Coturnix japonica: one gene and its partners. The protein of the gene in region 2 interacts with the protein of the main gene of each other region in a biochemical or structural test. Links are inferred from orthologs where the notes say so. Each region holds a gene or a part of one and is shown on either strand. Other genes may lie near its edges.

Evidence for each region.
Region 1: the proteins of MATK (region 2) and tyrosine-protein phosphatase non-receptor type substrate 1-like form a complex in vitro, tested with the Homo sapiens proteins (3 studies listed by BioGRID, with this or other methods). The link is inferred for Coturnix japonica from reciprocal best matches to the Homo sapiens genes MATK and SIRPA.
Region 3: the proteins of MATK (region 2) and LRRK1 form a complex in vitro, tested with the Homo sapiens proteins (2 studies listed by BioGRID and IntAct, with this or other methods). The link is inferred for Coturnix japonica from reciprocal best matches to the Homo sapiens genes MATK and LRRK1.

What each region holds. Positions count from the first base shown.
Region 1 is NC_029535.1:9,231,870-9,236,216, reverse strand, and holds the start of tyrosine-protein phosphatase non-receptor type substrate 1-like, read right to left. Parts: upstream 2,810-4,347; 5' UTR 2,723-2,809; intron 260-2,722; exon of another isoform or gene 1-259. UniProt on the Homo sapiens protein: Immunoglobulin-like cell surface receptor for CD47. Acts as docking protein and induces translocation of PTPN6, PTPN11 and other binding partners from the cytosol to the plasma membrane.
Region 2 is NC_029543.1:406,824-411,077, reverse strand, and holds the start of MATK (megakaryocyte-associated tyrosine-protein kinase), read right to left. Parts: upstream 2,868-4,254; 5' UTR 2,308-2,867; intron 1,365-2,307; 5' UTR 1,324-1,364; coding exon 1,309-1,323; intron 1,148-1,308; coding exon 1,034-1,147; intron 941-1,033; coding exon 825-940; intron 758-824; coding exon 538-757; intron 228-537; coding exon 134-227; intron 59-133; coding exon 1-58.
Region 3 is NC_029525.1:15,890,714-15,894,304, reverse strand, and holds part of LRRK1 (leucine-rich repeat serine/threonine-protein kinase 1), read right to left. Parts: intron 3,439-3,591; coding exon 3,321-3,438; intron 2,219-3,320; coding exon 2,102-2,218; intron 1-2,101.

The DNA of each region.
Region 1 (4,347 bases), on a different chromosome or scaffold from region 2:
GCGCCGCCTCCGTTGCCCTGACACCGAGAGCGGCCCCGGTAGCGGCGGGGCTCCCCGCAGCCCGGCACCGCCTGGCTCCTGGCAAAGTCGTGGGTGGGAGCTCCCCCCGGGACACCGGCAGCTGCCTTCTTAAGGTGGGCCGGAGGGAGCCCCCCCCCCCACGGAAGGATGCGGGTGAGGATGGGGCAGCTGCTGCAGCGCCCGCACGGGGTGGGATGCGGTGGCTGGAGCTGCTCCGATGGCCACGGGCAGCTCACAGCGTGGCACAAAGCCCGGTGCTGTTACGGTGGGGTTACCGGGGAAAGCACGGAGGTGGTGGGGATACACAGTGCTCCTAAATGCAGTGGGTGTTTAGTGCCATCCGAGAGAGCTCGCAGTGCCGGCAGCCAAGCCAGGAGGGCTCATGGCAGAAGCATGAGTGGCTGATTTGGAGACTCCATGTCTATCAGGGTCAGACTGAGCAAAGAGAGGACCCCAGAGCAGGTTGGAGAAGTCCTTATATCCCATCCCTGCACCAGTTCATGAGACAGACATCCCTGGTGTGTCCCCTCACCCAACAGGCTTAGCAGGAGCATCCACCATAGAGGATGGGAGCCTAAAGCGGTGATAGCATGAGGACAAGGTGACCACCATGAGAAATAGAGCTGAGGGAGAAAGCACCCATGGGATGCACATCCCTGCTGCTCCAATACAGGCTCTCCCAGGGGAGACACATCCTCCACTATCAGCTCCTGCTGCAGTTCCTCCCCATGGCACTTCAAGGCCAGGAACCATCCTGATGCCCAGCACTACACTCAGCCACACTCCCTACACCTGGGCATCACTGGCAGCTCCCAGTGCTCTACTCACTCAGGGATGGCAAACTGTCCTGCAGGCAGGAGCTGAGCAGCACCCAGCACAGGACACAACCCAAGGGCAGCAGCCATAGCCACGCTGGGACCACCACAGGCATCAGCTCCAACTCGCTCTCCAGCAGCCGCTGGGGCTGTCGGCTTTATTTAGAGCTTCACATAAACAAACAGCAAAGATAGCTGAAGTGTCTTGGCACCATCAGTCTGCACACTGCTCAGCCCGGGTGTGTTCTCTGCATTCTCATTAGTGCTGCAAGCCTCCCCCTCGGCCCTGCTGGTACAGGGGCATGACATACACCCACGTATTACAACCAGCTTTAAGTGACCTCACTTGCTCTGGACTTGGGACAGCTGTGCTGCACCCCTGCACCCTCAGAGCAGCTCCAACCATCGCTGTTCCCAGGGAGCTCCCAAGAGCCCAGCACAGCTGTTGCCTCATTTCCCCTTCCCACATCTGGCAAGCACATGAGCCAGAAGCAAGGTTTGGCTTTCGGCCTCTTACACAGGCAACGTGGTGATAAATCAGCTCTTTGCATGGGGAAAAGGAAACGGGATCGGCTACGGTTTGGTCTGTAGCACCTTGGATCCCATGTTTGGGAGTTGCACCAGCAGAGCAAGGCAAGGCGGTGGTGGGACGCAGCCCTGCCTCCAATCCAGGTTCTTTTGAAGCAGCAGCACAGCTCCTGAGGGCCCGGCTGCCTACAGCCTGTCTGGGCTGTTCTACTCAGCACTGAAGGTACAGACAAACCCATGATCACGGAGCACAGACAGCCCTATGCGCAATCAGAGCGCTTGGGAAGGAAAGTTGGAGCTTAAAAAAGCTCTGCAAGAGGAGGTACCACGGTACAGCAGATGGTGAGGCGCGAGCTTCCCGGGAAGAGCAGCTCCTGCTCTAATGTTATGGAGCATATGGGCAGTATGAGCTGCCTCCCTGCTGCCTGCAGCCCTGAGCTGGAATGCGGGGTTTGGAGAAGCCGGGCTGGGGAGCAGCCCTTGTGATGGAGGCAGAGAAACGGGAGCGTGGTGCTTTGGAGATGTGACACCATCACAAGTGGTTCCCTGTGCATGTGAGCAGGAGGCTCTGCAGCACTGTTGTGTTGTTGCACCCGTGGCAACCCCATGCTCCAGAGCACAACCCCTTCTCCAGGCTCACACTACCATATCCCAGCCCCTGGGAGCTGCTGTTGGGGGTAAGGAAGGGTTTGGGATCATTCTCCATTGCTTTGAAGCAACAACTTCCTCAAGGTGGGTCAGGGTGCACCACAGCTGGAGCATCAGCATCACCTTGAAGGGAGGATTGCAAGCAAATCTCCATATCGAGCCCAACAGCAGCATCACAGCTATCCCCATGCAGCCAGCAACCACCAACAGCACACACGTAGCACACAGGTTTGCAGGGATCCACAGAAGCTCAGAGCCACAGAGTTGTATCCTGACCCACAGCCCCACATTGGGGGCACACATCCTGTAGAACCCCCCACTGCTTCCCCCATCACCCCCAGGCTGTGGGTTCAGCCCTTGCAGGGCCCTCAGCTGAGAGAAAAGCACGCAAACATCTCCTTAAGGAGGGATTTCCAATTACACCACTGATATTTAGGGCTTCCAGCACAACAAATGGAGCTTCAGCTTCATTAGGTACCATGCCAACTTAGCCCAAGACATCCAGTACAGAAGGAGCTTAAATTAGTTTATCTGATGTTAACTTCTAACAAGCAATATGCCAACATGGGGATGGGAAGCAGCAACCTTCAGCCCGTGTGCACAAGGCAGAATGCAGATGCACCCAAGCTGGACCCTAAAAGCAACAGACACCGATAGAAGAGCAGCACAGCACAACAAATACCCACTGATGAGAGCAAAGTGCATCATACCCACTCACTGTGTGTCCTCCCTGCAGCACCCAGCTGGAAAAAGAAATAGTGTGGCACCTGGGAACCCCTTTATGCCACATTAATGAGCTGCAGGTGCTTCATTATGACCCCAGTGCAGCTGTGATGTCCATAGTAAAGCAGGATGGGGGCTGCTGGTTTCCTCCTATGGAGCCAAAATCCTTCACCTAAAACAGAGCTTGGGGTGGGGGGAGCTGCTTGTAAGAACTGCTTTGTTTATGCTTTTATGGGATGGTTTAGAACTATGCTGGGATGTTGCAGGTCCTTCCTGAGACCTCACAGTGATGAGTTGTGCTCACTGCTCCCAGTCACAGCAGGACAGACAGGGCAGGAGCCAAATTCCTAATCACAGCCCTCTCCATCCTGGCACTACTGGAGTGCTCTGCCAGGGCCAGGCGGTGCTCTTGAAGTCCATAAAGAGGTATTTATGGAGCAGTTTAGCTCTGATTGCTCGATGTGTGGAGGAAGAGGGGAGGATGTTGGTGCTGCAAATGATGCGCTGGGTGATGTTACAGGGTTTATTTATCCATGTCCCTGCAGTGCACGTGGGATGCTCCAGCCGAGAGGTGCTGGCACTGGGGTAACTCCACCAGGCTTCCTTAACACAGCCCTACACATTTCCAAGGGGGAATTCCTACCAGGCTGTGTCACAGCAGGAAAGGTGTTCTACATCCTGCCCTGGCCTGGCAGCCTGCCCTGGGAGCAGAGGGATGCTGGGTTTGGGCTGAACTGCTGCCATGGTGAGAAAAGCCAGCTGCAGGGACAGGAGCTGGTGGGGACACAATGATGTGAGCACTGGGTCGGTGTCAGCTGGTGAGCAGGGTCCTGTATCTGGCTCTGGAGGAGGCTTTGCTGTCCCATTGTGGGTGCTGAGGTCCCACAGTGCCAGGGGATGCACTGGGACTAGGTCACAAAGCAGCAGAGGGGCCAATCCTGCACCTCGTGGCTGCAGAGCTCAGGGATGCTGTGGGTGGTGATGCTGTCTGCAGCCCTGTGTGCTCAGCTCAGCAGTGACAGCACTTTGATTTTCTTCAGCTTTCTGTTGTTTGTTTCCGTATTCTCTCCGAGTTCTTTATTGATGGCAAATTGTTATCACAGAAGTGCATCCGTGGCTGCAGCAGCAGATAACGCTCGCTGTGCTCCCTGGGCCGTGGTGGCTGTACCTCAATGCTGCCCAATGAAGTCAGAGTGAGCACCAGTGGGTGTCTGTGGGGAGCCTGTTGTGTGTGTGCACTGTGTGTGTATTGCACCTGCATTGCACCTGCATGGCACAGGGCTGTGGATGCAGGGTCCCAGCTGTGCCCGGTGCCACTAAGCCCACACCTCTCAGAGAGCAATGCAGTGCTGTGGGACACCGAGGGCACTGCTGGAGCCCAGGGCAGAGCTCTTGCCCTGTGATGTGCAGGGCATGAAGTTCATTCATGGGGAGCAAAACTCAATTGTGTATAGCACAGATGAAACGCTCCAGCAATCACTGCACAGCGGCCCTTTAGCAGCGGCTCTGACCGCCGGCATTAATGATATCCACCCAATTAGCTGCTGTGCGCTCCGCATTGCCCGAAGGATTAACAAATAAAATCATCATTGCGGGGTGTAAGCGCTTAACG
Region 2 (4,254 bases):
TCTCCTTGCCCGATGCGCTCTCCCAGTGTGAGGTGCTGCAGGTTGAGCAGCCATCCAGCTGCACGGCACATGGATGGGTCAGAAGGCACCAGAGGCACCTCCTCCCCCAGAGCTGCCTCTCACCCCCTCCCACCTTTGGCCAACTCCTCCTCGGCCGACTTCATCCCGCTCTTGGCTTTGGGCTTCACCAGCTTGGTGCAGAGGGCTCCTTGCTGCTCCGTGTAGTGCTGCAGGACGGGGCAGGGGGTGCAGTCAGGGCACACAGCAATGGAGCAGCCTGTCCCCACTGAGGGGGGGACATGGAGGGGGCTGTCTGCAGAGACGCAGCAGAAGCAGCGGTAGATGAAAGGGGAAAAGGACCATCTGAAAGCAGAAGTTGTGTCTAAATGTGGAAACCATCTGGAAGCAGGAATTCCCAGAGCAGGGGCATGGAGCAGTTGTGGGTTGGGGCAGAGGCAGAACTGGAGGAAGAGCTTTCTGGAAGCGGGAGAGCCAGGGTTATATTTGGCAGCAGCCAGGGCACAGCGAGGCCCTCACCTCGATCATGTCGATGAGGTTGCAGAAGTACTGCTCGTTGTCGATGCTCAGCGTGTTGTCCTGGTGCAGCACACGGTAGTGGATCACCTCCTTGCCAAAGCTCACACACAGCACGTAGTCACCGGGGTGCCGGACCGACTCACGCACCAGGAACAGCCCGTCCTCGGGGGGCTGCAGCTCCTGCACCGCCTCCACCCCTGAGATCTTCCCATGGAACCAGCTGGGAATAGGGATGTGGGGTTGGGGGGCTGTGGGGCAAAGGACCCCCTGGAGCCGCCGGTACTCACGGCATCAGGCTGAGTTTGGGGTCAGCACGGATGGCCACACGCTCCCGCAGCGCTGCGGCCGCCAGCAGCCCCTCCTGCCCGCTCTCATTGTGCCGCACACGGTACCAACTCCTGCCCTGTGGGTGGGATGGGCTCAGAAAGGGGACACCCCACCAGGAAGGGGGTCCCGGCCCCAGCAGCACAGCCAGCCCTGCGGCCCCAGGGGTCACCTCCACAGCCTCAATGATGGTGACCACGTCTCCCTTATGGAAGGCCAGCTCGCCAGCCTTGGGCTTGGTGTGGTCGTGCTTGGTGACGCACTGCGTCCCCGCAGGCCAATGTTTCTGCAGGAAGAAGGCAGCGTCACCGGGATGCTCAGCCCGAGGTCAGCCCCAGCTGGAAGGACCGTGTGGTGACAAGGGATGGGGACAATGTCCTGGTGGATGCCCCAGCGTCACATCCCTGTGCCAGTTCAGTGCAGGAGGGGACAGTGAGCCCTGCTCACCCTGGACATGATCATCTGTCAGCGCATCAGGGACTGCTGTCTGCTCCCAGTGTCACCTGCAGAGAAGAAACCAAACAGAAACATAAAGAAATGGGGCTGAGCCACAGCCTGGTCCCCACCCCCCACCTCGCACAGCAGGGCCCGATGCCACGTGAGGCCATCGCAGCACCGTGTGGTTTTGGCAGGAACTCGCACTCTCATCTCCTGTCTGCGGCTCACAGCTGTCAGGGCCACGAGACGTGGGGCTGGGAGAGGCGCGGGGTGCTGGGCTGCAATGCAGCAGTGAGGGGCTGACTGCCCCCATGGGGTCACTGATGGGTGTCTCACATCTGCAGGGTCCCCGTTCTCCCCTGCTGTCCCAGCACAGCCCACAGTGCCCACCCAGACATTGTGCCTGGCATCACCCTGCAAGAGAATCTGGTCCTGGATGGAGCTCCACACCTTGGAGTGCCAATGACACCCATTGCTCCGTTCCTCTTTCTGCAGGTGAGTCACCATCACTCTGCGTCACTGCGCTGAGCCCCGTGACAAGGAGCAGATGTGGACCCACAGCGCCCGGCGTGGGGCAGCACTCAGCCATGGTGAGTCACACTCCTGTGGGTGCAGCTCATCCTACAGTTTGCTCCTGGGACGCCCAGCTGACAGAGATCCCATAGTCCTCAAATTTGGGGACACTCAGCCCATGGACATCCATGAGCCACGAGCACAGTGAGTGGGCAGAAAGGTGAGGATGGACTGATGGCACACAGCCACCCACTTCCCCACCGCCCCCTGCAGCGGGTGGGCACGGGTTGCTGCTCAGACCAGGGACTGCAGTGCAGCGCCCACCCTCAGTCATCCTGTGGTGCTATGAAGGGTCACTTGGTGGATGTTCATTGCAAACAGGCTGGTCTGCACTGAGCACAGTGCCTCCACCCCACACCCATCTCACCCCACACCCATCTCACCCCATACCCATCTCACCCCACACCCATCTCACCCCATACCCATCTCACTTACCCCCAGACGTGTCCATACGGGGCTGTGATGCTTTGGAGCCGTGAAGCCGTGGGGTCACTCAGCCACAGTCCTGGACAACCAACCAACTCCTCCTGCAGCGCTGTGTGATTTCCAAAGGGCGCAGGCAGAGCCGGGCGTTATTTCCTGATTTCTCTTCTGGTTACAGAGATGTGGTGTCCCAGCGGTCCTAGCGCCCGCCCGCCATCAATCATTAATCAGAACTGCCTCGTTAGTTAACGACACTCGGAGCGACTTTGGCCCTTTAGCAGCACAGGGATGCACCCACCCAGGAACCACAGCCGGGAGCTGCTATCGCTGCCCTGCAGCCATGGGGGGAGGAAGGGGATCCACCATGGTTGGTCGGTGCCAAAAGGAAAAGAGGAGACCACAGGATCACAGTTCAGTGCTTGGAAATGTCATGGCAAAATGGGAGCAAAAGGGGAAGAAAGAGAGAAAGAAGGAGAGAAAGAAAATGTGTGTTTTGGGGCAAAAATGCTTCTTTTGAGGGATTTTGTGGTGGTGTTATTTGGTTTTCAATAACGGGACCACACTGAGTATTGCTCCTTCCTTATGAATCAGAGGGTGACAACAGTTCTCCTTCTTGGCCCTAAAGCCAACCCCAACCCCAACCCCAACACAACTCCAACCCAACCCTCACCCCAACCCAACCCCAAACCCACTCCCAACCCAAACCCAGGTTCAACCCTACCCCAAACCCAGACCCAACTGAGACTCAAACCCAAACCCCAATGTCAACTCCATCCCCAACCCAACTCCAACCTCAACACCAACAACAGCTCTAAGCCAGCTCCAAACCCATTCCCAGACTTCACCCCCGCACTAACTATAATCCCAACCCCAACCCCAATGTCAACCCCATCCCCAACTCCAGCCCAAACCCTACACCAACTCTAACCCTCATCCCAGCCCTAATCCAACCCCAACTGGGAATTGGGGGATCAGGAGGGAATGGGAGGACTGGAAGGAAGTGGGAAACTGGGAGGATCTTTGGGGAATAGGTGGGAATTAACGGGGGATGGGGGGAGTTGGGGGATTGAGGGAATGATGAGGGTTGGAATTGGGGCTGTAGGGGTAAATTAGTGGGAATTGGGGGTAATTGATGGTAATTGTGGGGGTAACTGAAGCAATTAGTAGGAGCTGGGGGTAATTAATGGGATTTTGTGGGGTAATTGGTGTGGATAGGGGGTAATTGGGTGTAATTGTTGGGAACTGGGGATCAATTAGTGGGATTTAATGGGAATTGGGGATAATTAGCAGGAATCGGGTGATTAGGGTGAATTAGGGGTAAGTAGTTGGAATTGGGTAATTGGTGGCAACTGAGGGTATTTAAGGATAATTACCGGGAATTAGTGGGAATTGAGGGTGTAATTAATGGGAATCAGTGATAATTGGAGATAATTGGTGAGAATCGGTGGGAATGGGGGTGGTAATTAGTGAGGAGTATGGGTAATTTGGGGATAATTACTGAGAACTGAGAGATAATGAGTGGGAATCGGTGCTAATTAGGGGGGTAAAAATGGGGGAATTAGTGGGATTTAGTGGGAATTGGGGGGAATTCGTGGGGATCAATGACAGCTGGGGGTGATTAGGGGTAATTAGGGGCAATTAATTGGTGATTATTGCGTAACTAGGGGTAATTATTGGGTAATTAGTGGTAGTGGGGTAATAGTGGGTAATTATAGCGTCATTGTGGGGTAATTAGGGTTAAACGGTTGGAATTAATGGGTAATTAGTAGTAATTGTGTGTGTATAGGATGGGTATGGGGTCTATGGGGTAGTAATGGGGTCTATGGGGTACTTATGGGGTCTATGGGGTATAATGGGGGTCTATGGGATATAATGGGGGTCTATGGGGTATAATGGGGGTCTATGGGATATAATGGGGTCTATGGGATAGTGATGGGGTCTATGGGGTACTTATGGGGT
Region 3 (3,591 bases), on a different chromosome or scaffold from region 2:
ATGGGATGTGATGGGCAGCACAGAGGGTGAGCTGGCTCCAGACGTTCTGTCCTCACGGTTAAGGACAGGAGCAGCTGGGACGGCCACAAGGAGCAGGTTAAAACCAAAAATGGCCTCGGTCACCTCCTCCCTCCTTCCCACAAGGTCTGGCGCTGCTGGCACTGAGTACTGCAGCCTTTAAATGCAGCTTTTGTTTTCATCTGTTCCAGGTTGCTGCAGGAGGCTGGAGGCTCGCACCCATACACATCTCTCTCTCCCCCAGAAACCACACAACAAAAAAGCTCAAATTGTACAAAACTTTTCCTTGGCGGGTGAGATTTGGATCCTGGGCCCCTCTCTGCTGCCTTGAAGTTTCCATGATGCTTCCTTTGGATGAGAAACTGAGTTTTGGAAATTGTTTCTTTTGGATCAGCCTTCCCAAGGCAGTCATAAAGAATTCCCCTTCCCAGCAACATCCCTCAGCAGCTCTCTGACTGCGAGTTACCTCACATCTCAACAGCTGAAGGCTTTCTACCCAGGGAAACGAGAGCAATTCTTCCCTGCACCAGGCAATAATTACCATGTGATAACTCAGATACAACTCGCTGTGCTGTACAGTGAGTTTGACAAGTGTAAGCTTTCCGCTTTGTTTTATGGGAAGAACTGGCTGCTTCAAAAAAATGGCTTAGTTTCTTGCCAGCCTGGTCTGCACATCCCCACGGCTGCTGCTCTGGCTGTTTCACTGCCAAATTCATTCATAGAAAGGAGAGAGGAAAAAGTAAGTGCAATAAAGCAAGGAGAGCAGCAAAGGGATGTGGATTGCTGGAAGGTTGGGTAGGGTCGGGGGAGGAAGGGAGGTGTCTAGACTCAATATTACTATTGTAGAGCCTGGCATTATTTATGACATTTTCTAGGCAAGCCACAAACTGAAAATAGAAACCAGGAGACATAAAGCCACTCGTAACCCCTAAGGAATGGCTTTGCAAGCTGTGTGACAGTGGAAAAGCTGAAAAGCAAAAAGACTCGTTCGACTATCCTGGACAAAACCTCAGGCAGCACGAAAAAGAAATTTGCCCTACACGTCAGAAATGAAACTGCACAGTGGAGAAACACTGCAGACGTGGGAGCCAAAGAAAGCCAAGAGGCGGCTGAAACTCGTCCCTCCGCCAACTTCAGCTCTGTGCCCTTCTTCAGTCCTCCTCACACCATGTTTGGAAGTCAAGTGGTACACCTTACACTAACCATCCGCCCTGGATGCAGACAGCAGTCTGAGCAGACCAGCCAGAAATGGACAACAACGGGAACAGACACGCGGTATAAAACAGCTCCACGGCTGCCATGAGAGCTGCTCCGTGTTGAGCTTTTAGCCTTAGACAGCCCACTGGCATCTGCAAAAACTTCATGGTCACCATTAACGTTGGAGTATAATTATGTGTTTTCACTCGAGGTGCTGTAGACAAACCGGAGGTAATTTAGCCCAGAGCAGTTTTTGTACATCCCTCAGCCCTGCCCGCAATAGGCAGTAATGTCAGATTCCTCTTGCCAGTAATTGGATGGTAGTAGTTTCACAACCAGCTAGATAGCATACAGCGTTTTATTAGTCATAGGTGGCAGCTCATAGACTGCATTTATGACCTAAGCATTTTCATCCAAAACCAGAAAGAAGTGTAGGTAATACTGTGCACACAAACAACAGCATGCACACGTGCCAGGGAAAGAGTGAGAGCAGGAGCCAGAGTATACCCAAGCCCTGCATTAACAGTTAACAAATCTCTATACTAATTACTCATTCACATCCCCTCGACCTTGCTTGATCAGCCTAAACCTTGCCATGCAGTGATGTGGAAACACGGCTGGAAAACTTCCTTGCATGGGAATTTGATCTGTTTGGACTATTATCCTGGCAGAGTTTGCAGTGCCAGCTCCGGTCCCTTGATGCAGGTTCATGCCTACACCTCTGCCCCTCACTCTGCTGGTAGAGACACCAAGAGCCAAACCCACCTTCCTGCACTACCAAACACAGCAAACACCTTTGATGCTGGCTGGTGACAAGTGGCACAAGCCTTCTAGCCTGGCTTCACTAACACACCCTTCTCAAGCTGGAGCTAGGATTCCCCCATACCTTTTTGATAACAGGAATCACCAGGAAGCAGCTGACAGCAGCAGGAGAGTCCAAACCCTTCTGCGGGGCCTTCAGAGGACACATGCCCTGCAGCCTGTACACTGAGATCTTCTGGTCCTGTGGAAGAACACACCAAATTCAATGAATTTCCTTTGCTTCTCATGATTTTTACCCTTTGATAACTGAATCCCAAACAGTTTTTATTTGTATATTTTCCTACGCAAAGCCTGGATTTCCCTTTGTTTTCTCTGGAGGCCATTAGCCTATGGGTAGAACCTGGGGGCTGCCCTCCCCAGAACCAACTGTGACCCAAAGCCAACTAAACTCAGCACTCCAGCTGTTACAGCAGTGTATCTGAAACCAGCATTGGTAACCCCAACTCTGAACAAACCATGAATGTGTCAGGACAACTGAGATACGTTTTGTGCTCTTTAGCATTCACCCATCGGTTCAGACTAATAATACTGGAGTTACAAGGAATATGTGAACCCTGCCTCAATTTGAGTGGATAGAAAAGTCAAATACCTTATTTATCAACATGGGAAAAAGATACACACCTTCACTCCATTCCAGCTTCCATACTCCAGCCATGTGAATTCACCAACATGGATTACTTATTCTGCACACGTGGCCTCCTGCCCCTCAACCCCGAAACTGAACTTTGGGAACATTCCCATTTGTTTCATCTATGTTTTGTTTGCTTTGTGTCAAATGGTTGTGCAGAACAGGCTGACACTTAACACAGCCCTTTCTGATGGGCGGATACAGGCTCAGAGATAAGCCAGCCATGCTCTCCCACTCTTATCTTTTCAGCTGTGGTTTTCCATGGTGAACGCTGCACTTGGGTGCCCATTTCCCACCAGATTCCAAATCCCTCGGCCCTGTTTTACAACCCCACCCACAATGCATGGTTTCTTTCACTGCTCCCATTTATCACTCAGAGATAAGGATATTTCCCAGACGGAACCACTGGGTGCAGATATGCCCCAACTGGAGCAGTTTCACCTCGGGCAGCCGAGATTCCCATGACTGCTCTGAACACAAGGAGACACAACCGTGCTCTAAGTGTCAGCCAAACAGCATGCAGCACCAACACCCCATGAGGCAGCAGGTGCTCAGCTCTGTTGTCTCCAGCACTCTTAGTTCTATTGACTGAAGAGGCCATAGGTTTCCATGCCTTGCGAGGAGGAGCACTTGAGCAGGGTACAGACGGCCTTACCTCCGTAGCAGCCCAGAGTGTGTTCTGAAATTTCAGCTGGCAGCACAGCTTCATGCCGGGGCAGCTCATCCTCTCCACTTCTATGACCCCTTTTTCTGGATTCACCACCGTGTAGTTTCTGAAAAGAACAAACAATTGGCTGCAGCCAGCCTCCAACCTGTGATAGGGCACTTCTGGCTGAGCCACAGCGTGATGCAGACGGTGCTGCAGGGCTCTCCAAAGGGTTCTCATAAAGGAAAAGACATAAAGACACAGCCCAGCTCTTCCTCAG